Linked DNA regions of Arabidopsis thaliana. The protein of the gene in region 4 interacts with the protein of the main gene of each other region in a pairwise test. Each region holds a gene or a part of one and is shown on either strand. Other genes may lie near its edges. The genes, in order: SK42, AT1G01230, AT1G54730 and AT1G76185.

Region 1 (9,492 bases), 7.2 Mb from region 4:
AAACGATTTTTAAATACAAATGCAATAGGTAAATGATTGGGATAAACCATCTTTCCTAACAAAATCTGAACTCATATCGTATATAAATCAGTCTTGTTTGATACAAAAACATAATTAAAAAAGCAAGTGCAAAAATTCTGAGTAGAGAATGATAATAAAATGGAAACAACTCAATAACCACCCTTGAGATCGTTGACAACATCGTAAGGAATGGGAGTGACAGTCTCCAATGTCATACCTTCAACCATGAAACCCGGTTTAGGACCTTTAGGCTGTCTCTTGGTGCTGATAGTCTCACCTCTGGCTTTAGCATCAGCCTTAAGCACATCGTTCTGTTTCTTTCTGAGTTTAAACTCCTCAGCACACCTTGACTGTTGCACATGCTCCACACGCACATGTATCCTCTTCCTTATGATTCTGTTCCCAATCTAAAACCCAACCCAACACACCAACTTAGCTCTCCAACAGATTACACTAATCATAAACACAAGAAATGAAAAGAGAAGCTTTCACAACATCAAAACATATAATAATAGTAAACGAACGACCCAATAAGAAAAGCTTGAAACTTTCGAGCCAACACTAATCCAACATCTCAGAATTCAAAACAGATAGCTCACAGAAAGACGAATTAAACCCCAAATGAAAGAATCAAAATCAATTTCAAACCCTAATTTCAACAACAAAAAACTCTTTCAAACAGATTAAAAGTTTTGAGTAATCAAACCTGTTTGTTGACTTCAACACCAACGGCACGTTTAGTGACATTCCAGATGCGACCAGTACGACCATGGTAGAACTTATGAGGCATACCCTTGTGGATAGCTCCATTAACCTTGACATCGACGTAATCGCCGACCTTGAAGGTTCTGAGGTAAGTGGAGAGTGGAATATAACCCTTCTTCCTGAATGGTCTCGCGAACAGATCTCTTGTTCTCGCCCTCACTCCGTGTCCCGCCGGCATTTTTCCTCCTCTCTCACTTCTGTCTCTGACGAAACCCTAAAAATGGGAGAGAGAGGTGAAACTAGTTTAAAAGGCTTTTTGTGTACATGGTCTTATTGGGCCTTCAATATTTAAGCCTTATTTTGTAAAACAAATGCCTTATTTGAAATTAACTCGAAGATAAATTGGTTTGGTGTAATTCGAGTAATATGGTTCAAATCAAGTTCGTAAACATGGACAAATAAACTAAACTGTCAATTCATTTTAAGGTTCACAAATTTTTTGGAAAATTGTGTTGTGGCAGGAGTCTTGCAAATGTAAGTATGTTCCTCTATATCATATATCTAACAAAGTAGTGTTGTATTTTACGCATCCTCACTTCACGACAAGGGATGCGCAAGCACCTTAATACAAAAGTCATTGCTTCTTTTTCCAGTGATTTCTGTTTACAGAGAGAGAGCTCTACTGGTTTTTCCCAAAGACTGGGATCTAGAGAGCTTAGAGAAAAGAAGAGAACACCCGATAGGTCGTACAGAAAACACGGAAGAGACTTACGAGTGTAATGCCATGAAGTGGTTCTGCTTACGGGCATGTTCTGGGACAAGTCGGTCCACAGTTTCAGGAGGGATACCAGAGAGTTCTGTAGGACACACGCTTATCAATAACACATACTAATTTTCTTCCCTTATAAAGAATTTAACACGGAAAAAAGAAGAAGCAAATAACAGAACCTTACCTTGTGGTTTAAAATTGAATAGCGGAGGAAGTGGCCGGCCGTTTGGCAGACGAGCATTTGGGTCTCTTAGCTCATCAAAGAAAGGGTGGATACAAGCTTCCACCTATCAGAAAATCATAAGACATACTTATAATGGGTTAGCTTCTGATGCTGATCCCAAAAAAAATATGGAAGTAGAATATGTAACAAAGTCAGAGAAAAGCTATGAATAATTTACCGCTGTACATCTCAAATTAGGAGAATACTGGAAGAACCTACAAAGAAGATCTACTGCTTCAGGTGGCAGACGTTTCTGGAATACCTGAAAGTAACAAACACATGATTCTTGTGCTGTAAGAACATGACTATATAGAAGTAAAACCAAGGAAATGATCACTTAAGAGAAATTTTAGCACGGAGCAAAACAAAAGATAAGAATAACGAGTAACAGAGTTCTGGAATGTCAGCTGTATAAAATGCTGAATAAAACTTCATCTAGATAGAAACTTAAACCAGCAAAAAAGCCAAGATCATGAAGCCTAACTGTTTTCAACCCCCACGAGTGTGTGCATGAGTAATTCCTTTTGGCAAAGGTTCAATTTATTTGTTTGTATAAGAATCTTATATACAAAGGCAAAGCTGTCACATCGCTCTATATGCCAGAGGAATGAAATATGAAGTTAATTGATCACATATACTTCAATCAACCTCACTAAACCGAGACAAGCTTGGTCATATATCGATTAAGAGAACCCTATTAGGTGATAATTGATACTACTAGCGGTATACCTTGTGCCAAGGATGAGGTTTTATCTGAGGAAATTTAAATTCTGTGTAGTTTGGATTCATGCATTTGATCTCCTCCCTTGTTGGTGTACCCAAAACCTGCATGACAATTAAAAAACCATGAAGAGAGAATGTACGAGTCCTACTACAAAAATGGTGGTAAAGTTTTATAAAAAAAATATAATCAGCAGTGAGAAACTATTAGTCAGTGCCAGCTCTAAAGATGTCATTTTCTTTGTAAATACAACTAACCCTAAAAGAATTGATAGCAAAAATACTACCTTTATGATTTCAACAAGTTGATCGACTCCACTTTCGCCAGGAAACAGAGGCTGTAAAACAAGTCCGCGAGAGCAAAAATGAGTAAGAGGGTGAAGAAATAGAATAACAAGCATATAGCTAATGCAAATATAGTGCTCCAACCTGTCCAAGCAGCAGTTCAGCCATCACACAACCTGTGGACCATATGTCTATTGCAGTTGTGTACTCGGTGGCTCCAAAAATGAGCTCTGGGGCACGATAGTATCTTGAACAAATGTAAGAAATATTGGGTTCTCCTTTCACCTGTGGACCATGACACGTCATAATCTAAGCATGGACTAGGAAAACTAAACCACTAAGAGCTATAGCTGATAAACTTTACCAACACTTTTGCACTCCCAAAATCACAAATTTTCAGCTGATGTGTGTGTGGATTCACCTGCACATCACAATAGGTGTAAAGAAAAAAATAAAAGATTGTTTAATAAAAACAAGGCAACATTTGTTTATGACAAATTCTAGTCAATTGCAGGTATGGTGAGCCTAACAGCTGAAACAGTATGGAACAAGTTCAATCCTTGTGAAATCACAAGAAAATAGGATTCTAAATATTTAAACCAACGAACAGACCAGCTAAAAACCAAAACTATTTTCCGAAAAGTTAGATTTTAACATCCTACTTGAACAAATAGCAAGTGAAATTAACTACAGAACAGAAGCCCAGTACCACTCTGAGGTTGAAATAAACATTAGCGAGATGCATACATAACCTCATTGCTTAATCCCACCAGGCATGTAATAACGAAATATCATCATGTCATTACTATATAATGATCAAATTTGTAGAATTAAAGAACACTGTCTGATATTTATGTACACAAATGCCTTTAAAATCCTTATGTGTGGTGACAAAGACCTTGCTATATAAAAAAAATTCAAACAAAAGTAGCTTACAGGAAAGTGAAATCTATCATCAACTTCTTTTCAGTGAGAAAAAATTGGAACTTACTAGCAGGTTTTGGGGCTTTATATCACGGTGACAAAGACCACAGCAATTATGAAGGTAAGCAAGCCCCCTGCAAATCTGTAGCCATTAACATAAAATCCTCAAAAATCATTGGAGAATGTCCAACAAATTATCAGGCCCGATTCACACTTAAGTGTTCAACAAACGTTTGAGCACTACTTCTTTTATATAGAGACAATCAATTATGTTCAATAGTTCCAACTTCTAACGGAAAAGTACAATAGTATCAGAAATGATAGGAACTTTGCCTTCTGGTTTACAATCTATCTAGCAAAACAAGAGGAAATCTCCAACATCCATTATGGAATGAACCACAAGAAACCAGCTGACACATATCAAGAAACTGAATATAGCTTAAATTTTGAGTGATTACTTATGACGCTTACATAAAGAGAAACAAAAAAAGATCAGAAACAGGAAATAATCACCTGGTAAGTGTAGAGTTTGACATATATCAATGGCATCAGCTGGTTCATTCTACTGTAGCTTCTGGCAGTACGATTGACAGTCTCGGGAACAAACTCAAGGACAAGATTTAGATAAACCTCTTCATTTTCTGTTCTTGAATAGAAGCTATGCTTTAAACAAACAACATTCGGATGGTCTAGCATCTGCATAATTTGTAATTCTCTGTTCTTGTAACGCTTGTCTTGTAGAACTTTTTTGATGGCAACAACCTCCCCAGTTTCTCTGCATTTAGCCTACCACAAGGAGACATAAAATGTTTGGGAATCTTAACCAATGGTAAAACAACAAGATAGACAATCTTACTCACTTGGAAAACCATTCCGAATGAACCAGTCCCGACTACGTGTTCTGCTATGTAACTGACTGTCTGTCAATCAAAATTAAAAACAGTTGTATAAGAATCAGTACGTCTCACTAACAATCTAGACACACAGTTTCTATGACCATCTAACCTGTCTTGATTGACCATTTCGTCCAGGGAGTGTAGTTGTGATCACATGGCCAGGTTCTGCACCAACTCCATCAATGATATCTGGTTCACTGTCCTGCAACATGGCAAAAACATCAAATTCAAGTAAACTACTTCATCAAATAGAGGGGCGCATGAGAAGGAAGATAAGCTAAAGAAGTTCACAAAGAAATAAAGACCTAAGAAAGGAGATGCAAAACTTACTCTCTCCTCATCAGCCTCTGTCTTGTCCCTTATCTTCATCTCAAGCATATCTCTGCTCAACCAATCAACTGAACTAGAAGTGTTCTTTGTATTTTTGGCAGATCTCGAACTGCCTACTCCATTTCCCAGATGAGATTCCATGGTGGTGGTTGTTCGGAAGATAACACGTACTAGTAATTGATAACACCATAAACCTTAGCAATTTGGTGTCCCATCCCATCAAAACACCAATCTTCCTAGTAGAATATTAAAATCGTTTTCATAAAGCAAAAACAGTATAAGCAATTACCAGAGTATATACCCACAGAATTTAGATCGTTGGAACATGCTAACAGAATACCAAAGTCACTGGTTTTTCCAAATATATTCAAAACAAAATATCTTAACACTTAAAGCAGATTTAAGAGAAAAGAGAAACATGCAAACTCACTTTCAGAAGTGACATAAAGTTAGCAAATCGACCATCCTATCACCTTCTCAGAATATATTCTACAAACCAAACATAACGCATAATACCTATATATTCATAGAACCACCGAGCACATTCTTATAGCTTGAACATCCACAAGCACTATGAGATAGAAATAACTGAGTGGTGTGGTCTCTAGCTGCTTATGTTCCCTTGATCAATCACTACAAAGAAGAAATATGGTGAATTGAAATGAAAGAGGAAACATATTAGCAGAAAATATGAACCATTTCTATGTGAACAATGAAATTAACAAGAGAATAATTGAGAAAACAAAAGAATCAAATCAGCTACCTAATTTTCTGAGGTCACAATAATTTCTTCCGAAGTTAATTATGATCAGATAGAAACACAGAAAAGTCAACAACTTGGTATTAAAATTTCATTGAAACTTTGAAATAGTGGGTGATAACACAACACTGATACTACTACAGAAGACTAGAATTGAAACCCAGAAGAAATTACGACAAAACCAGATCTAAATTCCACTAAAAGGGACAAAGCTTGTCCTTAAACTCAGTTTCTACAATTACAAAAAAAACCAGAAAAATCAGTAAAGCAGTTGTTACTGCAAGAACCTTAACTTCCTCCAAAATTACACAATTCAACCAATTCGAAGCGCTATCTTCAGGCTTGAAGCCGAAGATGATCGATTTACCTTGAACGGAAAAGTAAAAATCACGCATTTGATGATCTTCTTCTTTTTCTTCAATTTATACAAAATCGAGCTCAATTTTTCTGACGAGCGATCACCAATGGAGAGAAACTGATCAGTAGAGATTTTCTCTGTGGTTTTCTTTTGTAGATTTCTTACTCTTTTGAATCAGGAGAGTTTTTCAGAGATTTTCATTTTCTTTTGTAACATCTACTTTATTTAAATTCGTAAAAGGGAAATACAAACAATTAATTAACCAACCAATCAGAGATTTATAAAAGAATTAAAATATATATTTATTTTAAAATAAAATAAAAAAATTAATTGATAAGCTAAACCAAATCACATCTATTGTTAAACCGAAATGGTCCATTGCTTTTGGGTTTAAGAAAGTTGTTCTTGCGGGAGGAGATCGAGTTTTTGGAATAGGGTTTGATGGGAAGATTAGGTTTTGGAATGGAGAGATTTGGACTAGAATCAAAGATCAGATTGGTGAATTCTCTGATATTATTGTTCTCAAAGAGCTAATTTACGTGTTGGATACGAAAGGCATTGTTTGGTGGATTAGTATCGTTAGGTATGGAACTTCACTTACTAATGAATGTGGTGGAGACTTAAGCTTGGTTGCATGTTGTGGAGAGCTTTATATTGTTGATCGTCTTTTTAAAGAGAATGTCTTGAAAAGAAAAGCTGATTACTTGGACTTGGATGATAATGTTTATGTTGGTGTAGCTCCTCGGATTTCTAATGTGATACATGACGATTTTGGGAATGAAAAATGCAATGTGGACCAAGAGGTGGAAATAGAATGTCCCAAAATGGTTGGTTTCAATGTTTATAAGGTTGATGAGGAATTAGGGAAGTGGGTTGAAGTTAAGTCCTTGAGAGATAGTGCGGTTGTGATGGCGACTGATACTTGTTTCTCGGTTATGGCTCATGAGTACTATTGATGCGTACCGAATTCTATATACTTTGTCCATGAAAAGGAAGTAGAGGTTAAGGTGTTTAAGCTAGACGATGGTAGTACTTTGATGATGTTTGGTTCTGAGCAGAGTTGTTTCCAAATGTTTGTTCCTAGGTTTCTCTGAATCTTGTTTAGGCTAGAGCTACTTTCTTTATATTAAGGATATTGGAGGAGTGACAAGAAATGTGATAACATTATCTCTATCTCATACCATACTTTACCATTTCCGTTAAGCTCTATCGAAAACCTTTCTTCTCCAGCTAGTAATATGAAGAGTGCCACTTCTGTAACCGAAATGTGCATGGCCTATTGGTATATTTCTGGCTTTCATCGACGTAATAAACCACTTGCAGAGGAATGATCACCCATGGAAGATATACAAAACAAATAAGCATATAAAAGACTTCTTCTCATCAGCCTCTGGATTTGAGTTGCTTGGGGAAGACGTTTACGTTGCATTCTATATAGGAAAGGTACGAGCCTAAAGGCATAAGAGCTTGGTGCAGCTTATATCATCAAGTGGGATGTGGCTTTATTGGTGTCTCGATGCCCCATAGATGTTAACAATCAAGTCTACTTGAGAAATATATAGGGATTCACTCCTCTAGCAAAGTATTGTAACAAATAAATGCAAAACAGAGAAAAGAAAAAAATCAAACTAAACCAACTAATAAATAAATTACATAGTTTGATCCATATCTATACAACATATTTTGGACATTGACTTACAAGAATCAGAATAACAAGAACAGATTGACAAACACTTGACATGAGAAACTAAACTTCAACATTGTTCTCACTTTGGTTAAGTTCCGCCATCTTCTTCTTGTTTCTCTTGTGCAGAGTGTAGAAGTAAGATCCTAACGCCAAAACTGTTCCTATCAAAGCACCAATTCTAGGCCAACTAAACACATCATCCATAAAATCAAATGCCAAGACAACAAACAAAGCCACAAATGGTGAAGCACACATATGAACAACATCACCAAAAAGACCCGAAACATAATGCACCAAACCTATCATCCCGACCGCCCAAACCTGCCACGACAAAGCCAACCCGACCAAACTCAGAACGTAATACGTTTCCCCTTTCTTAAACCTCTTGCTATCGCCTTTCAGTTCCTTATACTCGTCACTCGCAAACAAGCCCACGAGACAAACAACCGAGGCGACAAAAGCGACACATATTTGCATCTCTAAGACCATTCTAAACACTTTCTCGTTACCATATCTCTTGGTCTTCACTTGGAGTTTCTCGAACCCGAGTTGGATTAAGCAAAGAGATAATGAGAAAGCAATTGTAGCAGAGAAAGCTAACCAAGCTTGGATGTTGTATCCGAATTCTTCGCCGTCATGAGGCTGTCCTCCAAAGTCAGGAGTACCGAGAACGTAAATCACAATAGTGAGTAATATCGATATGATGATCCATCTAGTAAACTTGAAACGGTTAATGATGGCTGTTAAAACAGCGGTAAATATCAACTGTGTTGTGGAAATCAATGAGAAGATGCCATAGTTTGAGACTAATTTCCCGAGTGCGAACAATTTGCTGTGAGCAGCAACAAGAACACCAAGAGATAAGTAAAGGAAGAAGAGACGCAAGGAGAGGAAACTAGTATTGTTGGTTTCAAGGTGTTGTTTTGGTTTAGGGAAAATGAAAAAGAGAGGGATGAGAATAGGAAACGCAGCGTTTTGGATCAGAGCTTGCGTCCATGTTCCTTTATATTGTAGATCTTGGTCATACTCTTCTCGACGGTCTTGCTTCATTTGGACATAGAAGAAGTTCAAGAGAAGCATGACGAGAGAATCTCCGAGTAAGACTAAGAAAAGACATAAAGAAACAGAGATCCACCATTTTCTTTGTTTTAGCTCCAACGATCTTCTTGGACTCAAGATTTGGTCTGGTTCTGGATTCTGAACGTGTTCTGATTCTTCTGGTTGTTAAAGAAAATATTTAGTTTTTATTTTGTTTTCGAGTACAGAAACAATATTATAAAACTTATGATAAGAATTTGAAATAATTACCATGTCTTGTTGTCTGTTTGGAAGCTTTGGACATCTCCATTAGTTTTCTCTGGTACCTCTGAAGTCTGAACACCCTTAAATATGCAGATTTCATTCTCTGTGGAATGACTAGTTCTATCTTGCAATTAGAAAAGATCTTTCCACTATACCGTACGAAATCTTTTTGACAGATCAGAGTTGGTACTAGTCAAAACCCGGAAAGGTATTACTGTATATATTATACACCGCTACACAAGGTTAATTACTTAATTTAAACGTACATTAAAACCTCTATAAATTAATAATGTTGGAACATGATATTTTATTAATTTATAGAAACTTTTGTTTTAATTGTTAACAAAATATAAGTTAAACAATTTGATCAAAATAAAATTAATATTTTGGAGGTTATAAATTTTATAGTTTCAGACTTAAAACATTTAAAATTACAAATAAATGCAAAACAGAGAAAAAAAAATCAAACTAAAACAATCAACAAATAAATTACACAGTTGATCCATATCTAT
Region 2 (6,458 bases), about 28 Mb from region 4:
CCACAATGCTCTTGCTTCAGCTGCTCCCATTATTTCATTAAGACACAACAAAAATCCTAAAAAATTAAGAGAAAAGAGAAACACACCAAATCAAAAGACTGTTCTTTTTTCACCCAGATCCTGTAATATAAACATAAAAGACATGGGAAGGATTAATTCGTTTTTCTTGCTACTCATGAGATTGCTTCTAAGCAAATGATTGATTCATAGATAAGCCAATGATTTAAGGAATTTACATTAAATAATACACGCAACGTCTGGGAACCAAAATATATTCAATCAAAACCAATTCAACGTATATGAAATCTTAAACAATCTTAACAGATCCAGGAATAAAGAAGACAATATATTTCACCACCAAATTAAACACAACAAGACATAAGTTTCAGAGCAATTAAGACATACTGCAGAACCAAAAAAAAAGAAAGTCTTGAGCAGAGCAAACTACAAAGATCATGCGTAAGATTTCGCAATGGGATCGAGTAAATTTACCAAAATTTTCAGAAATTCCAAAATCAGAAGTTGACCCAGGAAACAAAAATCATCACTGATCCATGAGAAAACAGTCTGATGGAAGAAACTAGAAGAACAGAGACTTTTATCTAAACAAAACCACGAAAACAGAGCAAAAGAGTAAGATTTGTAAAATAGATCAGAAAACGAAGTAACAACTAAAGATACCATTATTAGTAGTTTAAAGAATCCATGAATCACTCTAGAAACAAATGAAGCGATCTTGCGCGACCGAAGCTTTTGGCTTTTCTTCTCTTTTTTTTTAATTTTCGTTTCTCACACTCTCTGGCCCCATGGAACCAAATTTACAGTTTCTTCCGTAAAAGCTTCCGAGTTAGGGACACAAAACGACACAGTTTCAATAACTTGTTTGGCTTGGTAAGCATCTGAAACAGCTGGATTGACAACACGTGTTGGCTAAAGAGAGAATCGACGGCTATTACGATATGGACCCTACTTTCGATTTAATGGATAAGATGTTTTTATTTATTTTCTTACATTGGACCACAATAAGAAAAAAAAAAAAAAAAATCATTAGTCTTATTCCAACTTTAATTAGTCATTCTTTCGTTTTGTCGGCTTTAATTTTGCAGGATATATCATGTTTTCGGGGTCCAATTAGCATTCTCTTTTTTTTTTTAATCACGTTAATTGATTACTTTTGTTAGCTTTATTCAATTTTGAAGAGGGATTAACTATTTTGTATACGTACACCATGATATAATATCCATCCAGGTGGACTTTAACTATGACACGTGTCATTAACCAGCTGTTAGAGATCTTGTAGGCAGCCACGTGTTCTTTAGATCCCACTGAATCATTACGCTCAATCGAAAACATTCTGGTGTTATGATAACTCATGAGTCACCACGACAGGAATCTTTGGGCCATTGTTAAATTCAATTATTGTTCAAGCCCATATTGCTATTAGGCCCATTATCTGAAGTGAAGTGGGGAGATGAAGGGAAAGCTTTTTCGTGTCTATTATAAAAGGTAAAAGATGAAAGCTTCAAAATTAGAGAGTTTACTTACAAATATCCAACAAAAAACATGACTCGAGAATTAAACCAACTCATATGAACATTTACACATATATATGTTCGCTTATATCCCCTTTTCCTTCTTTCAGGTGTTCTCTTGCCGTAAAGGAAACTTATTTATCACCATTGATACCAAAGATGCGTACCTTGTGCATGTTGGGGAACTTGGCAACAACGAGAACCATCACAGCGAGTGTGTTGAGGAACAGCCATGGATGTCTGTAATCTGTTGTATGCGATGCAATCAAGTACCTGTTTTAAATGTGTCGTTATAAAGTCAGAAAACAAGTACAAAAGCTAAAGAGCTCAATCTTAAAAGTTCATCCAGATAAATGCAGCTCTTGTTTATACACATTATCGCGTATACAGAGTTCTCTAGAACTAGTCCGTTACACATCACCGGATTTAGATATGTGTATTGAGAAATTAGCATATTTATTAACCATATGAGACACAAGGATATATGCAGCTAAAGAAAATAATTTGCTAAGAAAATATAGATTGGAAATAGACAAGAGTGGTGAGATTTTGAGGAACAAGGTGCTGGGACTTACAGAACAACAGGAACTAGGGTAAGAAATTTGCGGTTGCGGGTAAGCTGTTGACCATTGTCCATTTGTTCCCACCAAGTTAAACCATTGTAGATTCCTTGGTCATCTGCAAAAGGAGTTCCTTTCATCCAGTGGAAGCTGTGATACGTTACCTGACAACAAATATCCACAAATTTCTACTCAGACATCACATTTTCCTAAAGAGTAATTAGAAATTAGATTAAATTTGGTTTTGACAATCAAGCAATGCCAATTTACAAGTCACCGCATTATATCAAACAGTTAGACCTTAAGAAATTGCATTGATGCCATAGGTAGTTTTAGTTTCTGATATCAAAAACTGATAATTCATTAACGAGAAGGTGCATCTTAATTCGAAGCCTGATCCAAAACCGATCAATTCAAACTTAGAAGAGAATTGCATCTTACTTAAAAGCCTGATCAACTCAACAGTCAACACTGCTGATAGTATCCAAACAGATCAATTCAAAATCGCTGATACCAAAACTGATCAATTCATTGATAAGAAGGTAACTGTATCCTAATTCGAAGCCTGATCCAAGCTCAACGATATACGATAGCTAAAACTGATCAATCAGAAGGTAATTGCCTCTTCATTCGAACCCTAAACCAACTAAAAAATTGCTAATAACCAAAGAGATCAATTCAAACACTAGAGCCAGATTCACATCCAGATCTCAGGAAATAAAAAAAAAACAAGGAATCAATCCATCATCTAATTTAAAGTCACAACCCTAAGTGAAAAAATCATCTCTAAAGCATAAACACAATCGAAGACTTACAACGAAGTGAGCGAGATTAACAACAGTCCAAGCCATTCCAGGGGAACAACCAGAGACAGAGAGAACAACGAGCCAACCGAAGAAGAGAATAAGCATGTAAGTCGTCCAAACTCCTGGATACATGAACCATTCCGTATTCCTATTCATATCCGGTGGTGGAACCGCTTTCACATACAGATTCGCCATTTCTTCTTCAATCAGATCGGATCGGATCGAATCTCGTCTTCTTTTGATCAAAATCTTATATTAACACCTGAACTAAAAACCCAGATTCACAAAATTCTCTATTTCGGCGAGAACAAGGATTGTTTGTTTCTTTGGTTTAATTTTGTGTGCCCGTGAAAGACGACGACTGCTTTTTTGCATCTACACTGGGCATTAATTAATTATTGGGATATTTTTGACATTACCCAAACCAAAACGTCTGCGTTTTCATTTTGTACAGACAGAAAATAGGCCAACAAATGCAATAAAGGGAACATAAAACCAACATGAGGATTCTAACTGAAATGTTTTCTTATGTATATCGAAATTCGTGAACAAAGGTGATAGGTATCTGTTTGTCACCTAACATAGTCGGTATCAGAATCTTCTTCTTCGTCTTCTTCTTCTTCTTCACCTTGCTCAATGGTCTTTACGTCAAGGTTGAGAGCCAAATCCTCAACTGAGACCTTAATGACGTCGCTTCTAACACCAATATCGGTAGCATAGCGACTCATACAGTACATACCAGCAGTAACTGTTGCCACACCAATGGGACTTGGAATAAGCAATTTGAAAGGAGAAGAGAGGAGTGCAGCCAAAGGAGCACCAACAATTGAAGAAGCTTGACCGCTTCTCCCTACACCGAGCTTATCCATTATAAGCAAACCGGTCTTGCAATAGAGCGCGAAATCCTCACAGTTGTTCTTGAAAATGTCGTAGTTGCCAAATCCGTTTTGGAGAAGGTACATTGCCCTGTGGATGACTGAATCAGTTGTATCAGATTGCGCGGTTGTGCAAGTCCCTCCGCGGACTTTGGTTAGGAAAACCGATGGACTGACTCCATATTCGAAGCAGTAGAGTGAGCCGTTCTTGAGGAAACAGTCTAAGCAAGAAAGGACTACTCCACTGTCCGGTTGTCTGAAACCGCAATCAGGAAATATGGAACAGATATCTTCAGAGGAAGATGATGATATTGATGATGTTGATGAATCCATGGGGTTGTGTTCAGGTCTGAAATGAACAACTTTGGACCCACCGACAAAGATTCCTGCAAAAATCCACAATCAAATCAAAGCCCATGAAGGAATGTCTACAACAGTATCAATTCTTCATCACCAGAGGAAATTGGGATAAAAATATGTCAAATAAACAAAAATCATCTATAAAGTCCATCAGAGATCAGAAGATATGATGGAATAACATCAAAATACAGAGCCAGGGTGAAATTAGGTCATGCAAAGATTGGAATATAGACCATTGTCTTCAAGATCTATCTAGATAAAGTCGTCAACTTTGTGAATTTACAGTTTCAATAAGAAGATTAAACCGACCAGTAGAAACTAAAAGAAAAGACTTGCATTGAGGATAATTTCACTTTTTGATGTTATGATTGAATGAACGAGAAAGAAAGGAGCAAACTTGGGAAGAATGAATCTAAAGTTACCGTGGTGAGAATAAGCGAAGATTGCTCTGTAAGTATAGATGTGATCTCCTGGCTTTAGCTCTTCTCTCTCAATCTTGTTCGTAAGCAAACCCATTTTTCTTCTTCTCTCTCTCTCTGCACAAAGCTTTTTTTTACCTTGCTTGTGGAAAATGCAGGAAACGGCGTTACAAGTGTAAGCTCTAACGGTGGGATCTGACGTCAGCGAGATAGGTAAGGTAAAGTAACGTTTTTTGGAGTGGCATTATCTAATTCGATAAACGAACTAGAGAGAGCTGTTGAGCAAACCCGTTACAGAGTCTTTTAACGGCGTTATCTCCAAATCCAAATGCTACCAACGTACTGATTTTCCGGGGCCTTTTGACCTTGATTCCAGGCAGGGGTAATACGGTCACTTCACAGCTTGGTGGTCGTTGAACTATGAAGTAAACCAACCAGAAGCAAGAAGAGAACGACTTGGTCAAGCAAAGGATTTTGTTTACCACACGACATCGTTTTTAATTGCAAATCTGAAAGATTCTTCTGCTTTTATTTTTTCCAAAGGTCCCAAAAAAATATATCAATTTACAAGAATCAAGATGATGACACACTGACACTGTATGTATCTTTCAAATACAGATGCTCCAGTTGTAAACTTTGACATCAAACTCTGCATGTTCTTCCAATCTCTGTCTTAACTCCTTGGCTTTCTCTGCGTCCTTAGCCAATATAAGTGAGAATCCACCACCACCTGCACCTACCAGCTTGAATCCTGAGCTATAAGGTTGCGAAAACTCAAAAAGCTTATCCACAAACTCATTGCTGCAATACGGATCCAGCTCTTGATGCAGTCTCCAAGCTTCTGACATTATGTCGCCTACCTCGTCAACTTCACAGTTCATCAACGCTTCTCTACCGGATTTCGCCAGCTCCGTCAATCGCTTAATGCTTGAAATTAGGAGATTATCTCTTTGCAAATACCTTGTAACGACCTTGTGTAGGACTTGATGAGCTAGCCTGACCTGTTTATATAAAAAAGGCATAAAATGAATGAGACTCTGTAGCTAACAAAAAATCTTTTCTTCCTCTCAGTGGTTGCTACTTACTTGACCCGTGAAAACAACAAGGAGGCGTTGCTCCAACTCTGAAATTAGCTGTGGCGAGGCGAGTAAAGGAACAACTTGAAGACGCATAGGGATTCCTGGAAAACTTGAAGTGAATTTGATTCCTGGATATAATCCACCAATCTGATCTTGCCAGCCACCTCCTGTACCCATGAGTTGCTCCAGAACCAAGACAAGTCTTGCAATGTTTTCATTGCTTTCATCTCCATTAGATATCTGGAGAAGTCCTTTCACAACAGCTGCAGCTAGAATGCTCGAGGTTCCTAGACCACTGCCACGAGGAACATTGGCCCATGTCTTTATTGCTAACCCTGTGGAGTCAACAAAATTTTCTTGGACAATGCCGGTTACCAATAGAGCAGATTTAACAAGCCTGAATGGATCATTGACTTCAAATGGTGTCTTAATGCTTATTGGATCTTCGATGTGTAGCTCGTTTCCAGCGTCGTCTTGGATTGAGATTCCCATCTGATTTGTTGTTTCAATGATTGTGCCAATTGGAAGTGAACCTTCTAAGGTTATAGCCATGTTCAGGACGTAACCTGCACGCTCTAAGCTCCATGGAGGTGTATCACTCCAACCTCCTACAAAATCTACCCGAACTGGTAGTTCAACTTTTGTCCTTCTTGGTTGAAAAACTCGATCCGGATGAGAAATATGATTCTCAGAATGAGACTTGCCACTTGATTCCAACAGATGTTCTGAAGAACAAATAAAAGAGTTAAATCCAGGTTTATGAAAGGTGTTATACCAAACGGTGGTGGCTAGATTTTTACCTCTAAAACCATATCTCACAGCTGAAG
Region 3 (9,922 bases), 8.2 Mb from region 4:
TGTTTTTTCTGCGCTTGCACCACCACATTCTCCTTCGTCTTCCTCCTCTTTGCTTCAACCCTTTCGGTCTCCACCTCCGCATGACAAGTCATCTTGTTCTCCACCTCGTTATCGGACATCCTCATGTCGTAACTCTCAAACCCTAGATACTCTGTGCACAACATTAAGCCATGTGATTGTGTCTCATCATGGCCAAGACCGGATTCAAACGGCATCCCTTTGGTGTTGGTTTGGCCAAGGAAAGAGTGAAAGCTTCTTTTGTAGAAGCTCATCTTGGTAACAAGAGAGAGAGAGAGAGGGTGACAAGATAGATACCTACTCCCCTATTTGTATTATTCTGAGGATTGATGAATAATTATTACACATTTTTTGTTTATAATAGAACAAGAAGAGAGAGAAAAAAAAGTCAAGAAAAGAAAATGGGAAAGAGATAGATGATCGAAAGAAGCGGTGTTTTGCTTGGTGAATAAAGGTGCCACCGAGAAAGATGACCTGTAGAGATTAGAAGAGAACGTAAGATAAGTCCCACGTCAGATGGCTTCACACTTCAATCTCTGTCACTTCTTTTTAATTGGTTTTCTTTCTTGTTTTTAGATATAAAAAGAGGAAAAATGACTATTTTTTTAAAATTTTTTTTTAATTTTTTTTTTGGTTTGTGTGTGTTAAAGGAAAAAATGGAAAACAAGAATATGTCATTAATATCGTGATCTAATCCCTTAGTTAGTATATTTTGAATGGATATTTGTCAAACAATCATTTTTTAAAATTGATTTTTTGCACTCATCCATGAAATCAAAATTGACCTCCATACATAACATTTTTGTAAGCGGTCTAACTATCTCAAAGAAATATTTTATAATTTTTTTGTAGAACCCAACATATATGTCCAAAAAAACTTCGAATATCTTTCACTGTCTTTAGAAGTTGTAAACTCGTCATAACCTCGATTTTTTTCCTCGACACCTTCAATTATGTTCTCCGATATTTGGTAACCAAAAACAACACCATTTATTCAAATTCACTAAGCAAAAAGGATGATACGATTATACCAAAAGGAAAGAAGAAAAATAAAAAATCTTACTTTTAATCGTTATAATTAGGGACTGATATTCTCGTAATCAACTACTATACATTACAATTCTACATAACCAATCGAATATTGGATTTCCTCAAGTGTGCGACCTTTGGTTTCTGGTACGAGTTTTGCTACAAAAATAACAGTAGCCCCACAAACAGTAGCGAAAACATAAAACGTTCCTGAAAATTTAAAACTTGTGCCACTATTAGATAAAGAACAAAATTTATTGATAAAAGCAAAATTTAAACAAATTTTATACCTGCCGGATTCCAATTCATTAGAAAGTTAAATGTAAAAGATATAATCCATGATCCGACCCAGCTAACAACAGTCACGAGGCTTCCGGCTGATCCTTTTATGTCTATTGGAAATATCTTTATCATATAAAACATAAAATTAATATCTACGCACCAACTAAATTGAATTAAAATGTTATATAAACAAAGAATCAATAAATAAATCATAAAGGAACATAATTTATATACACTGATCAAAATCATACCACATACAACCATATGAGAGTTAAATAATTTATTATTTAATTTTAATACTAAACCGTAGGTTTATGATATAAAGTTTAATATTTCTTAAGACATCGATCGGATTATTAAGTATAAGAGTATGTTTAAAACCAAAGAATTTTTATGAATGTTACTTACCTCTGACATAATGACCCAAGGAATCCCACCCATCCCTAATGAAAATGATCCGGTGTACACCTGAAAAAATAAGATAAATTTATCATTTATGGACGTCTACGATCTTTCAAAGTATGTGTGTGGGTTCTAATTTCATCCAATAGTTGGTTCGCTATCCCAGAAGCCACGAAATACTTGTTAATAACAATAATGATATTATTTGTTCTTTTCTAGTAGTTTTTCCTCACCGACATAGTATTCGGAAATTTGTTTTAGCAAGTCATTCATCGTAAAATTCCTTCAACTCAAACACGTCTACTATATAGTTCTTTCAGAACGAGTTACAGGAAAAATAAACGTATTTTGATGATATAGATGTGTATATCAGTTCTTCTATTTTTTTCATGCACCATCTTATTGGTACAGTCATTCCCACTTTCAAACAGCAACGTTTCAGTATGCCAAAACTATCATATTCATATCAACTATTTTCAAACTTTTCAAATTGAGGATAAAAAAAAAGGAAATCTAGATTTTAGTCGTCAAACTTACCAAAACGCCTGTAAGTGCTAGATATGAAGCATCTCCACTCAATTGCTTTACAAACTACAACAGGATGAACCCAAAAATTATAGTACATAATATGAAATTATAAACATTTTGAAGCATATATGCAACTACTTGAGAAGTTTTAATATTAATATACAATCAAACAATAAAAATTAATATTTCTAGATATTTATCATCTAGATCTAGACATAGATCGAGAAAATATATTAAATCTCTATTAGAAGAAAAAATTATAATTATGGTAACAATAAAGTCATATGGCACCACTGTAGACAAAAAATATTCAATTTTTATACTGATATTAATATACTAAAACATAATATGTTAAAAATAGATAAAATCAAGATATTATTTTAAAATATAAATAAGGAGAGAACCTGTAATGAAAATGATAAACCGACGAGGAAACACCCGATACATGTTCCAGTAGCAGAAATCTGAAGAGATAAAATATTAAATTCATTATATGTAATTCTTTCAACATATACATATTGACATATATATAGGGACTAGGGAGGCAATATATAATTATCCACCAATGTATAATAATAATAATAAAAGATAAAAAAACAATAATAAGTTGGAACTACAGTTATAACATAAATTCTTTAAAAACTTTATTTTTAATATAGTGAGAAAAGGTACTTGTAAAAATTACTTTGTATTTGACTAATAACATTATAAAAAAATGTTAGTCACTTGTTTTTTCTTACTAGAAGTAATGGTCGTCTTCCTGATTTATCCATCAACAGTACACCTAAAGTTGTCATAGGGATCTGGAAAGAAAATTCGTCTCAGCTACAAATAATTTTAAGAAATGATACATTGAATTTTAAATGTTAAACAATTATATATTAATTGTAATTATTTTGGCTTTTCAATTCAAAACAAAAGTGGATTAGACCATATTATTCATATATCACTCAACGTCTCATTTCTTTAATGTTAGGTATTTCTAACATGTTACCTTGATATATGGTTCCTCTACGGGTTTATCTCTCTATAATCTTGTTATAGGATAAATTTTGGGTCAGATTAATTTTTGTATTTGATAGGTAAACAAATGAAACTCAGATTAGAACGATTTGGTTTGTATCGGAGAAGCGTGTGTTCATTTTATAATTTTATGGTCATGATCGTTTAGTAGTCGCCAGTGATGGTCGTTTGGTAGTCGTTAAATTTAGCGACAGATCCAGCGACCTATCGCATCGATCAACAATCTCCAGGAATTAGTCGTCGCGACTGATCGCTATCCTGCTCTCTTCCTTCTCTTTCGAATGGAAACAATTCACACTCTAACATTATATATTCTCTTTCTTTCTCAGGTTTTTCTTCCCTAAAAATCCTTTAGTATAATTATATTATTTTTGTAATATATATTTGTATTAGTTGTGTTGTTACCCTATATAAATATATATTCATTCACTTAATTAACCATCAAAAAATTGGGGAAAATAAAATAATAATACCCAAAAACTTACCTGTACGACCACCATCGCAATCATTCCAATTTTGGAAGAAACCCCTACAAAACAAAAAATTAAGTTGGTTAGTGAAGTTCTTTTTTAATTTTTGGGGTTTAGGCACATTAATCAATATTAAAGGTGCATGTACCAGCAGATTCGAAAATAGAGCTAGCGTAAAAAGCAATTCCATTAACCCCTCCAAATTGTTGCAAAACCATCAGACCAACTCCCACCTAAAACCCACTTGGCATTTCATCATAGAATAATGAAAATAACTACTTATTGAACAATTTTATAAGTTAAAAACACTTACAACTAGAGATTTAGCATACTGTGGCTGGAACAGATCTACTATACTACCTTCTGATAAATCTGTAAGTCTTCGCGTATAATCCTAGAAAATATAGAAATACAGGAGATTTTACACTTTAATGGAAATTTGTAAAAAATGTAGTGAGCTCAAGAAATAGAATTTAGTGTTACTTTACTTTGATCTCATTAGACTCATATGAAATATCTGCGGATTCACCACGTAATCGTTGCAATGCAATCTCAAATTCTTCCCATTTGCCAACTTTTGCCTGAGAATTTTTGCGAACAATTATTTTCTATAACAATGAAAGTTTTGGGTTACTTAGCGTAATGATTGGATAGACTAGATTTGGCATTAGGTACATAAAAACTATTAAACTTGTAGTATGTTGACGGATAACGTACCAACCATCTAGGAGACTCTGGGATGACAAATAATCCCATCATTTGTACAACACATGGTATCATTCCTGGAGCATAAAAAAAAAATTAATTAACAATTTTTTAGTATGAGTAACTTATTTAAAGTATGTTGACGGATATTACCGATCAAAGCTAAAATTCGCCAGCCTATAAAAGAGCCCAAGAGATATGTGACTGAGACACCCAAACATATCAGTAACTGCAATGTTAACACTGTTAAAGATCGATGGAGATGAAAATAATACTTTTAGAGTATATATTTTGTAACTTCTGATTTAATTTTTAAAAACTAATTTAGTTCTTGTATAACATATTCATAAAAACTAATTTAGTTATTGTATAACATATTCATACCTGATGAACAGTTGTAAACCCACCACGAAGACCCTTAGGAGTGATTTCAGCTATGTATACAGGAACCTGATCATCGATTAACAAAACAATCTAGATGAAAGAACGATACAAAATCTACTGTACTATAGCTAGCAACAACTTTCAGCTACATAAATCGAAGAAGTTATCTTTTCATTGTGTTGTTCCTCGCATGCGCAATTTTAAGCCGGAATACCAGCTAGTAGTACATATGAAATATCATACTCTTGGGGGCAACAAATAGTTTCAACATATAATCTAGTATCTAATATGACCAATATAGCTTTCGTTTTAAGAAATTAACAATTGTAGAAGGCTAATGTTTATTGTAAATAGATATATAAGAAAAGTAGAGATATATTTATTTAGATCATTAGGTCACTCATCTTACAATTGATCATCGAATTTGTTTTCTTGTAATCACCACAATATTTTTCATTATTCAAGCTACTAGCTAGAGTTTATAGATTTTACCACAAACGAAAAAACGCCCATTCCATAACCAACCAAGAATCTCCCAACGTCAAGCCAAATTGCAACCTTAATAGACAAAAACCACATGGTAAATTTTAAGTACTTCTTGAAGAAATATAGTTGATGAGAAATACAGAGAGATATATAGAAAAATACTAAGCTAACCTTAGAAAGGTAGATTGCTAACCAGCCGAGAATGCAAAACATCTCCGAGAAACCCATAGTCTAATCACACACACACACACAAATAAATGATTTATTTACCAGTTTGACGCAAAAATGTAAATATTCGCTTGTCATGGAAAGAAAGAAGAACAAATTTTACAGCTCGTCTGCCTATCATATCGGCGATTCGTCCACTCATAGCTGCGCCGATCATTGCTCCAATTGTCAGAATCGAACCGAAGAGCGAGTACTGCATGTAGTTTAAAAACATTTATAGGTGATATATCTTGATTTTTACGATGATGTTTATATAATTTGTCATCTTTCGTAAAGGTATGCTTATTTCTTAATTTTCTACTAAATGATATTTTTTCCACACCTATAAACCTTAAATCAAGACGGAGAAAAAAAAAGAAAAAAAATTCTAACCGAAATAGAGATCATAATTAATAGCCGGACACAACTAATTTATCTCAACATGCAAGCATTTGGAGTAGGACCAGTACGTCTACAGTACAAAAATTCAATTCTCCACTCATTTTTTTTTCCGTCAATTCTCCACTCATTATTAGTACAAAAATAGTGAGATAATCCTTTAAATTTTAATTCTCCACTCATTATTTTCTTCTAGTATCATAACCCTTTCACAACTACTTGCCTCAATTAAAAAAAAAAAAAAAAACTACTGCCTCAATCCATACTCATTGATTAGATCAGTAACTAATACTATACACATAAGTTAAATGTACTTAAGTATATTTTACCTATCTAGCTAGCAAACAAAAACATATGGCATAATAAATTAAAAGACAAAAAAATAAAATAACAGTTTACCTCTGCCACAGAGAGATTCAACTCCTTGGTTAAATCCGACTGAACAGGTGATGAATATCCTATCTGCCAAAATTTTCAACGAAATTAGAAATTAAGATTCAAACACAAAACACAACACACAATTACTGAACAAAAGCAAAAATTAGTAATTGTAAACTCACAGCTGAGCCAAAGACAAAGGAACCAGACACGGCTACAAAAGTGGTGAGCAAGAGAGTAGTTGTTATTGTCGCCGATGAGTCTTGATTCTCTTTGTTAATAAGTGAAGTTTCAGGAGCAAGATTAGCTTCATCGATTTCTCCTCTCATTTTCTCTTTCCTTTTTGTGATTCTATCTTTCTTAGTGAAATACTTGAGTAAAGACAAAGTAGAGTTGTTGGAGAGATCTCAAGAACTAATATATAGAGAAGAGATAAGGTTATTTTATTATTTTGTCTTTGTCTTCAAGTTGTTATTATATATAGAGAAAAAGTGAAGAGTAATTCACAAATATATATATGCAAAGTAGTCAGTCGTATGTAGTCGTTTCATTTTCATGTGTAGTAAGTTTATGCGTTTGTATTTTAGTGGTTTAAACAACTAGGTTTATGTCTTCTTTTTTTTGTTTTTTCTTTTCTTTTTTTGTATTTTTAGTTTTGATTTGAATTTAAGATCCTAGAGCATATGCATTGCAAATATATATTATCTTTTAATAGGTCTATGAAACTATCTGAAGCACACACTCTATAGATGGGAACAAGCAAAGAACCAAGAAGAGAATAACGAGTTCGAGTAAGAAGAAACTAAGACCAGTAGCAATCGAACGGGTAAATCTCTCTTGAAAAAAGTTAGTCCTTCAACGAAAAAGAGGAAAGACATACGTATTTCATGAGATTTATAATGGTAATCGACCAGACGATCAATCATTTATCTACTTCTCCTTTAAGGGTTTGCCCAATCTGAATCGGTCGATCCGGATACACTTATATTTTCATATAAATACTATCATATAAGAACTAAAATCCTAAGCTTTTCATATATAGTTTTCACTTATGGTTAGTTGTAGTAGCTATTAGCAAGAGCTCCACTGCTCCGCCATCAACAGCTCCAAGATCTGAAATGAGATCGAAGCAGAGCTCAAGTTCAGCTAAAGAGTCAAAGAAAGAAAACGACGTCGCTCAGCTTAACAAAGGAAAATGGTTATTGGGCCACTCACCAAACAGGCCCAATGACAACACAACCAACACAACAACGAAGCCCAACAAGTGTTCTTCCTCTTCTCAACAGACAAGACCACCACCTGTGCAAGAAAACAAATCAGAGTGAAGACAGAGAAGAGGAGCGTCTGTACGGATCCAATCAACACAAAGAACAGATTTGGTTGTTTGGTGACCTCCGAAGCTTGATAAGACAGAGACAGCTGTCAGTTTACAATCATTGAAACCCTAGCATTGTTTAGCTATAAAAGGGAACCATGTTGTAACCTAAAGATTAAGTGAAATAATACAAAGCAAAGTTCACTCAAAACATTACCTAAAGTAGCCGTCTTGCTCTTACTTTCAGTAGCCTCTTAGATCTAAACTCTTTTGGGCTAACATCACTAACATTTATTCAATTGTTTTAGAATTTATTGATAATCTTTAGTTTTCTTACATTTTGTATTTTAATTGTCATAATAATTGAGTAGTCTCATTCATAGGTGATCGTTAGGCTAGATTAGGGTGTTTAATGTTTGATTCATGATATATAGTTGCATAGTCTCATCACTTAGAGAAGAGCTCAATGCTAGTTAAGTTGACCCCTGTTGATTTAGATCTTTCATTTCACGCCTAGAAGGTGTTAAATAAAATGCTTGAACACTTTCTGAGTAAACTGGATTCAGGGTAACCATCTTCATTTGGGTGTTTCCTTTCTCTTATGCTGAGACTCTTCCTGAGTAAACTGGCTTCCATGCTCTTTTGTCTCTCCATTGTTGTTGTTTCTTTTTTCTTCTGATGATCATACTCTTTCTTTTTGTTTAAGATACAGTTAAAGAGAGAGATAGAGTAAGAGACTTAAGAGGATATTGTCACTTATATTTGTGACAAGTACTAAGTTCAAAACTCTTCATACATTTATATAGGATCTTGAGAAGTTTTAGACACTTTTTTTTTAAAAAGGCTTGAAGATATCGTGGGTAATTAACAAAGGACGAAAAACAAATCAAGTAGGAGTGTAGGACAAAAAAACAGTAGTTGGCTTTTATTTTTAAGTTTTTTGGTGAAATTATTGGCCTTTATTTTAAAAGAACATATAGTTATATTAATGAAATGGTGTTCGTAAAAACGTGCAACTCTGACAAAATATTCTTTAAATAATTGGAGACGGGTAGACGCAAGATTTGGAACTGTTCTTTGGTCTCAACAAAAGTCAGTTAATCAAAGTTTACTAATAAGTTTTGGCATAGTTGCCTTCGTAACCAAGAGGGTGAAAACATGAAACAAAATAGTGAAAACACTTACAGTTATGTTTTAGCCTTGCTGTTTGATCGTAGGGTGGTTGGTATATGCATGGTACTGTCATTTTGGTGAATTTTATGAATTTGTAAAACCATATAAAAGAAGAATAAGATATATAGGAGCAACTTCCTTTTAGAGCTTTTTTTCATTTAATATATTACTAAACCGTGTGAGTGGATAAATACAAGTCTAAGGAATCATTTTGATTAAACTCATTGCTACTGAAAGAATGTGTGAGTTATAGGGTTATAACTTAAGTACTATATACAGATATAGTTTCTCTTGTTCGTCCATATTTATTTAATCTTTTTTTGTAACTTCTCAAATAATATAAGGTTATAACATTTTTTTTTTTGTCGTCTAATATAAGGTTATAACTTATAATTATCTTTACACGGGAACCACATTTTATTGTTTGTTATATAATCTGTATACTAACAACGACGTAATAAAACTCTTACTTCAATAATCTGACAAGATTTCGAATTAGTCACTCTTTAAGTCTTTATTAATGCATGTAATATAGTTGAGAACACATTGACTAGAGGGAGTACATTTTTTTAAATGGTGAACAGCAAATTCAATAATAATTAAATATATTTTTTAAAAATTAGGGGATAGCTTCTGATTAGCTAGAATAAAGAGGGTGAATGAAATTATAGTGTAGCAATTTCTAAAAAATTTAGGGTATATAATCTGATTATTCATGTTGACTAAGAAAAAAAAAAATCTAACCTAAAAAAGAAAGATATGATTCAACATACAAAGCAATTGATTACCCAAATCACTAGTCGTTGGGCATTAACTGCTTTGGTGCAAATGGGTCTAAACATGGAAGGCTTAGGCCTGAGGGATGCCTTGATTTTCTTTGAGTTGTGACGTGCAAACTAAAACCTATTTCAATTATACACCAAATAAGTAACAACTAGCCCTAGGACCTATATTATATGGAACATTAAGCTTGCACGATCTCTACATTTCTTAAACAATAAATAGATCTATTGTTGATTCAATTAATCAATTTGGTGTAATTTTTGAATGATAATATTTAAACATTCCCAAAAAAAAAGGTAATAATGTGAACATGCACGAGATAAAAAATACAAAAAATTGT
Region 4 (5,834 bases):
ATAATAATAAAAATCTGAAACTAAAATCTAAAATCTATAAACTAAAATCTAAATTCAAAAACTGAATCCAAAATCAGCATCCATTCAGGGCCTATAACTTCGTCCCAAATCGTTGTTTTAACCGTCAAAAAAAGACTCAAAATCAAATGATGATACTGTATCATTGATACATTACAATAATTAATTTATTACAAGATCATGTTGGTATACACAAAATAGAACAACCCTTCTCCAAAAAAAGTTAACAATTACTCCAAATGGTTAGGAAACTAATGACTGAAGCTGGCTCTGTCCACGAAAGAGAGAAGAGATTGAAGCTCCCTTGCAGGTGCTGCTCGTGGAAGACTTCTCCACATCATCATAATCATGGGACATGCTCCTTCTCACAAGCATGATGATGTGATCCATTAAACTTCCATCGCAAGGAACTTTTAAAGGACCATCAATGGTAGTCCCAAACTCATCCTCAGCCATTTGCAATAGCACCTGTAACATCGGATGATTCAGATAATCCAATGGTAAAACGAATCTCTTCCCTTCGTTCGTGTACACAGCGAAGTGCCCTTTCTTCCTTCTTCTCCATTTCTCCATCAATTCGGAGAGTCTAATCCCTTTAGAATTTAGTTTCTTCATATGATTTTTGTGTGTGTGTTACTTCGGCTTTGATAGTTTCGTTGCGTATGTATCTGTCTGTATGCAACCTTAATTAAATGCCTAACTGCTTCTCTATATATATAGCAATATATGGACCAAACTGTGGATTTTGATGTGTGTGGAGGGAAAAGGATGTTCGTGCTTATTTGATTGTTTTTAGTTGCTTTTCAAATTTGTCCACAAATTGGATCACGACCACTCGTGGAGTTATGTACTGACCTTCTACAAATATCTAGAGATTTTCGATCTTTCTAATTATTTCCGTTTCAAAACATGAATTACGACTAAATGCAATTATCTTGGTTACTAACACACTTGTTTTTGTCATTGTCATTAATGAACTTTGACAAAGCTATATCACCATGTAGACAGTATCTCATTATTTGGAAATTAAGTTAATCAAATCAAGCTAAGCTAGTGTATTGACAGACCATAACATTACAAATAATACTAACTATTACCACTTTTTCTTTAACAAGATACTAAAGTAGTTGCAGAGCGCAAAGGTAATGATAGAAACATGTGAGCGTTTCGAGCAAGTTGCTTGCTACTTTTCATTTTATAGTTCTCTCTTCTACTTTCATGAGTGTTCGTTGTTTTTCTTTTTCTCGTCACATGAAAATCCTGCAAATCATTTTTTAAAAACTTTTTACAGCCAACAAATCTAAATCACTTCATCATGATATTAAGTGTAACATAGATAGATGGAAAAACTATCTTTAATCACAAAACGCTCAAGTTAACAATCCGTGATCGTGCCTAGGAAAAATAAAGCAACCTCCCATACTACTTTATACAGGAAAACAACCTTTACAGCACTTTTGTTCTGATTTGTCTAAGCTAAGCCTTGAAATTGCAGTCCCTGGTTTCATATCTCAAGTTCAGGTCGATTCTTCAAAGGACAAAAGCGATGCGTCCCAGAGTCAGTCTGAGCTTAGCTGTCATCTTCATCAATGCATATGGGCACAAAACTCATGCCAGAGAAGAGTTGTGGTTTGGTTGTGTGAGAAGATAAACGGTTCGCAACAGCTCAATGGTTTCGGTCTTTACATAGAGAGAGGAAGAAGCATCCTTCGCTTCTTCTTCCTAGCATGTCTCACTTGCTTTGTGATTTTCATACAGAGGAGTAATAGTAAGGTGACACAAAGCAGGATAAAAGCAAGTTGCAACCGCCTGAAGTACAAGGATACAGCTGAAAACACCACGAGTGCTAACATCACTAGTTCCCATATGACAAAGACTACAACATCAACCCTGAATCAAAAGCAAACGAAACGAATAGCATAAGTACCACTATAGAATGTTCATTGTCAAAATTTAACAATAGAATCCAGATTGCAACAGAGTCGATAAGAATGAAAAGTGTATGTCAAATTGTCAAAGATGGTTCAACGTGGACAAGTCAAAATTATAGTTCCTTGTGTAGGATTCACATAGATATCCAATGTTCAACGACAATCCCTTAAAAGATGAGAAATTTACGGTTCCAATTGAATTAAATATCACAAAGTACAATTTTTCAAATACAACTCTAAGCACGCAGCTCCAAATCACAGCAGATTAAAAAGGAAAGGATAAGCCGGAGATCTCTAACCTGGAGGAAGAGAAATTGGAGGTGGAAGAGAAGAAAGAAACGGAGGCCCAATCATGCTTTGATCTAATCTGATATTCCCTGAGCTGTTCTGCTAGATTCGATCTTGTTATCATCGCTTCTTCTCCACCAAGTCCCGATCACAGTCCCGATTCGACGAAGAGCTCAAGAAGCGTTTGAGAATCACGAGATGTAGGAAAAATCTATCACCAACATATAACTAGAATCTAGAAATCCAAAACAATGGAAAAACAAAATCTGTGAATTGGAAAATTTCGCATCAAAATTTTACAGCGACGAAACGGTGTCCGATTCGTTAGGAATTCGGCGAACGTTGCGTGGACTCTCTCGGTGTCAACAACCGGGTCGGGTTATAGATCCGATCTGGATTCTTAAGCCCATTTTATGGGTATTGGGCTTTTACCGTTACTCTTTTGTTTTGAGTTGTCATCATATATGAAAACTTTGTTCCGATGCCATGAAATTTGGGCTTTTAAGAATCATGAAAACTTTGTTCTAACAGAAATAGAAACATCAAAGAAAAAGAAATAAAACAGCGATGCATCGATTGATTCTCATGTCCCACCAAGTAAAGCGAGTGCTAAATATTGTTGAATATTCCTGATTTGACCACAATAAGGAAAATATCACGCCCATAAAACTCAGACGGGCGGTGAAAAAGAAGAAATCGACAGAAGAACAAACGCATGACGTTCATTACTTAGCACTAATCTGAAACTTTCGAATTATAGTATTTGATCCATATGTATTCTACGTTTTTCAGAAAACTTTGTTCAGATATCTCAAACTTTCGAATTAATTAATATTATTTTAAAATCTATAGTTTAGTTGTGAATTCTAAGTGTCGGCTACAATTTGTCGGTTCGCTATCACCGAAAACATTATCCAAAGAATAAGTTAAGAGCTGAGCTTCGGTGTATATGACAACAAGAACCAAAAAGACGAATAAGTTAGTATTGAAAAAGATAGGTTTGTTTGATATGTGTGTTGATACGTCACGGTTCGTGCTACGTCTTTGTTAAATTTAGAGACCAGAGATTACTGATGTGGCACGTCGGTTCATTTTTTTTATTTTAGGCGAATTTTAAGAGATGATGCATTTACCGATTACCATCTGTCCTTCATTAATATTTTTAGTATATCTTTTTCAATAGGTCGAAAATGACATCCCACACATTAACATATTAATTCATAAGAAATCCAAGTCATCTTATGCTCATTTGTCTACTCATGATTTCATTATCTACATCTAAGTTTATCTTTAAAAACTGCATGAAAACATAACCATTTACGTTGAAAAAATACATACACAAACCCTTTTCCCATAAACGAGATTACGAAAGATTGTTTTATGTGCCCCAAAAATGGTAAACAAAAGATGATGCTAACTTTCTATTCGTTCTAAAATCTAAATCTTTAGTTTTAGTTTGTTTATGTCCACGATCATTTCTTTGATAATACTTTTGGCGGATTCACAAGCGCAAATTACCCGTCTTATTGTAGCATTAGGACTAAAAATGAGATCCGGTAGCATTGCAACAACACCTTCCTAATCGATTGAGCCAATCGGACTTATATTACTTGTTGGATTTGTTTTTTTTTTTGTTTAGAGTATCCAAGATCATGTATTTACAATTTCAAAGATCATGCGTTACTAGATTGGCCTCTTCAACATGTTTAGTGAATAATAAGTTAAAATAACACCTAATCGTTGAGGATTCATAGCGTGATAAGAATTAAATAACCAAGTTCTTATTGGTTTGTTTGTATTTTGTAACGCATAGAATAGAAGAAAGAAAAAATAAGGAACGTTATAAATTTCTAAAAAATCATCATTTCTTCTCGAACAAGCTTGTTCCAGCGTGGCACTAGTCAATAAGTCAAGTGGACCCACGTAACCGACATCACGTCTTTTACGCCAATCAGTACATACTATTGGGTCCTACAAAAGGACAACTTCCCATGTTATATTGACACGTTTTAAGATGTAATTGATTAATCTAAATTTCTCTCTGACTCTTTTCTTTGTCTACATCCGACGTTCCATTTCTGACTATGAGCTCCGTCGTCCGATTTGCGCTAATGCTTGACACGTGTCTTCCAATCTATGGTGCATTAAATTGTTAATCCTTTCAAAATCTGTAATCCATTTTTGGAATTTGCAAGATGGTTCCTATATTTGTGAATATATATATATATATAAGAAAGCCCGAAACTTTAAGAACAATAATTTATAGGGACATCCCATTCTTTAAAATCTCTTTTGCGTTGTCAAAAATAAATTATTTTTGCTTTCAGAGGAAATGAAAAAACATTTTTGCTTATTCCATATTATTCTTACTCTATTTAAAGTTTGAATCAGTTTTCTTTAACTTGATAAACCGATCATTGAACTACAAAGTCCACATAACAAGTATTAAAACAAACAAAAAAACTTATGAAAGTCTAATATTTAAATTAAAAACAGTACACGCCTTGAACAAACCATTTAGTTTGTTTTCACTACTTTTGAAAAAAAACTATCTAGTTGCCATTCTTATCCATTATTTTTTATTCCACTAAATTGATATCAGATCACGTAAGCAAACTATTAACAATTAATTAATGAATTCTTCTTAATCCAATATAACTTTATCTAATTAACAGAAAAATGATAATTAACGTGGGGACGAAGGAGAAGATGCCATAAAAAGCGGGTCATTTTGTAATTTCATATAATTAGATATATGTTTTTAAATTGCAAAAAAAAAGTGTACAAAGAGCGTGAAATCCGCGGTGGCTTGGACCCCTCCCGAGTCCTCAACACTATATAACACACTTTCTTCTCTAATCTCCATCACCTCTTATTTTCATCTGCTTTTGAATTTCAAACCTTCACATAAAAAAAATACTTTTGAATCCGTGTTTCATTCATCGAATCTTTTTCCGATAACTATGGCTGAGGAAATCAAGAATGTTCCTGAACAGGAGGTGCCAAAGGTAGCAACAGAGGAATCATCGGCAGAGGTTACAGATCGTGGATTGTTCGATTTCTTGGGAAAGAAGAAAGACGAAACAAAACCAGAGGAGACTCCGATCGCTTCAGAGTTTGAGCAGAAGGTTCATATTTCAGAGCCGGAGCCAGAGGTTAAACACGAAAGTCTTCTTGAAAAGCTTCACCGAAGCGACAGTTCTTCTAGCTCCGTAAGTTTAGATCTGATCTGTTGATGATAAACTATAACATGATCGAATGCTTTTCTTATCTAACTATATGGGTCTGAATTTATACAGTCAAGTGAGGAAGAAGGTTCAGATGGTGAGAAGAGGAAGAAGAAGAAGGAGAAGAAGAAGCCAACTACTGAAGTTGAGGTAAAGGAGGAAGAGAAGAAAGGGTTTATGGAGAAGTTGAAAGAGAAGCTTCCTGGACACAAGAAACCTGAAGACGGTTCAGCCGTCGCTGCGGCACCGGTGGTTGTTCCTCCTCCTGTGGAAGAAGCGCATCCAGTGGAGAAGAAAGGGATTCTTGAGAAGATTAAGGAGAAGCTTCCAGGATACCACCCTAAGACCACCGTAGAGGAGGAGAAGAAAG

The links.
Region 1: the proteins of AT1G76185 (region 4) and SK42 interact in a protein complementation assay, tested with the Arabidopsis thaliana proteins (one large-scale study listed by BioGRID).
Region 2: the proteins of AT1G76185 (region 4) and AT1G01230 interact in a protein complementation assay, tested with the Arabidopsis thaliana proteins (one large-scale study listed by BioGRID).
Region 3: the proteins of AT1G76185 (region 4) and AT1G54730 interact in a protein complementation assay, tested with the Arabidopsis thaliana proteins (one large-scale study listed by BioGRID).

Annotation. Positions count from the first base shown.
Region 1 is NC_003070.9:21,429,864-21,439,355, forward strand, and holds SK42 (shaggy-like kinase 42), read right to left. Parts: upstream 6,241-9,492; 5' UTR 6,014-6,240; coding exon of another isoform or gene 5,974-6,013; exon of another isoform or gene 5,650-5,973; coding exon of another isoform or gene 5,564-5,649; exon of another isoform or gene 5,507-5,563; 5' UTR 5,390-5,506; intron 5,110-5,389; exon of another isoform or gene 5,106-5,109; 5' UTR 5,015-5,105; coding exon 4,874-5,014; intron 4,746-4,873; coding exon 4,653-4,745; intron 4,568-4,652; coding exon 4,508-4,567; intron 4,434-4,507; coding exon 4,161-4,433; intron 3,790-4,160; coding exon 3,715-3,789; intron 3,145-3,714; coding exon 3,088-3,144; intron 3,009-3,087; coding exon 2,868-3,008; intron 2,777-2,867; coding exon 2,726-2,776; intron 2,544-2,725; coding exon 2,448-2,543; intron 1,981-2,447; coding exon 1,897-1,980; intron 1,783-1,896; coding exon 1,680-1,782; intron 1,584-1,679; coding exon 1,499-1,583; coding exon of another isoform or gene 1,495-1,498; exon of another isoform or gene 1,348-1,494; coding exon 1,275-1,347; 3' UTR 1,188-1,274; downstream 1-1,187. Other genes in the region: AT1G57860 (Translation protein SH3-like family protein), read right to left, coding at 171-428, 728-964; AT1G57906 (F-box protein), read left to right, coding at 5,564-5,649, 5,974-6,013, 6,387-6,947; PUP17 (purine permease 17), read right to left, coding at 7,739-8,895, 8,987-9,026. UniProt on the Arabidopsis thaliana protein: May mediate extracellular signals to regulate transcription in differentiating cells.
Region 2 is NC_003070.9:94,255-100,712, reverse strand, and holds AT1G01230 (ORMDL family protein), read right to left. Parts: upstream 3,302-6,458; 5' UTR 3,094-3,301; coding exon 2,908-3,093; intron 2,257-2,907; coding exon 2,108-2,256; intron 1,806-2,107; coding exon 1,667-1,805; 3' UTR 1,473-1,666; downstream 1-1,472. Other genes in the region: AT1G01240 (uncharacterized protein), read right to left, coding at 1-30; AT1G01225 (NC domain-containing protein-like protein), read right to left, coding at 3,471-4,159, 4,556-4,649; FKGP (L-fucokinase/GDP-L-fucose pyrophosphorylase), read right to left, coding at 5,161-5,553, 5,638-6,356, 6,432-6,458.
Region 3 is NC_003070.9:20,421,189-20,431,110, reverse strand, and holds AT1G54730 (Major facilitator superfamily protein), read right to left. Parts: upstream 6,766-9,922; 5' UTR 6,641-6,765; coding exon 6,494-6,640; intron 6,396-6,493; coding exon 6,333-6,395; intron 5,749-6,332; coding exon 5,659-5,748; intron 5,559-5,658; coding exon 5,499-5,558; intron 5,400-5,498; coding exon 5,334-5,399; coding exon of another isoform or gene 5,310-5,333; exon of another isoform or gene 4,908-5,309; coding exon 4,842-4,907; intron 4,687-4,841; coding exon 4,611-4,686; intron 4,535-4,610; coding exon 4,470-4,534; intron 4,334-4,469; coding exon 4,241-4,333; intron 4,147-4,240; coding exon 4,066-4,146; intron 3,986-4,065; coding exon 3,901-3,985; intron 3,812-3,900; coding exon 3,768-3,811; coding exon of another isoform or gene 3,717-3,767; exon of another isoform or gene 3,063-3,716; coding exon 3,000-3,062; coding exon of another isoform or gene 2,982-2,999; exon of another isoform or gene 2,724-2,981; coding exon 2,664-2,723; intron 2,323-2,663; coding exon 2,269-2,322; intron 1,798-2,268; coding exon 1,738-1,797; coding exon of another isoform or gene 1,666-1,737; exon of another isoform or gene 1,453-1,665; coding exon 1,338-1,452; coding exon of another isoform or gene 1,321-1,337; and 4 more. Other genes in the region: AT1G54740 (FANTASTIC four-like protein (DUF3049)), read right to left, coding at 1-272; AT1G54720 (early-responsive to dehydration protein-related / ERD protein-like protein), read right to left, coding at 7,357-7,487, 7,574-7,711, 8,184-8,280.
Region 4 is NC_003070.9:28,587,024-28,592,857, reverse strand, and holds AT1G76185 (NADH-ubiquinone oxidoreductase chain), read right to left. Parts: upstream 2,534-5,834; 5' UTR 2,362-2,533; coding exon 2,249-2,361; intron 1,909-2,248; coding exon 1,701-1,908; 3' UTR 1,327-1,700; downstream 1-1,326. Other genes in the region: AT1G76190 (SAUR-like auxin-responsive protein family), read right to left, coding at 262-633; ERD14 (Dehydrin family protein), read left to right, coding at 5,201-5,449, 5,537-5,834.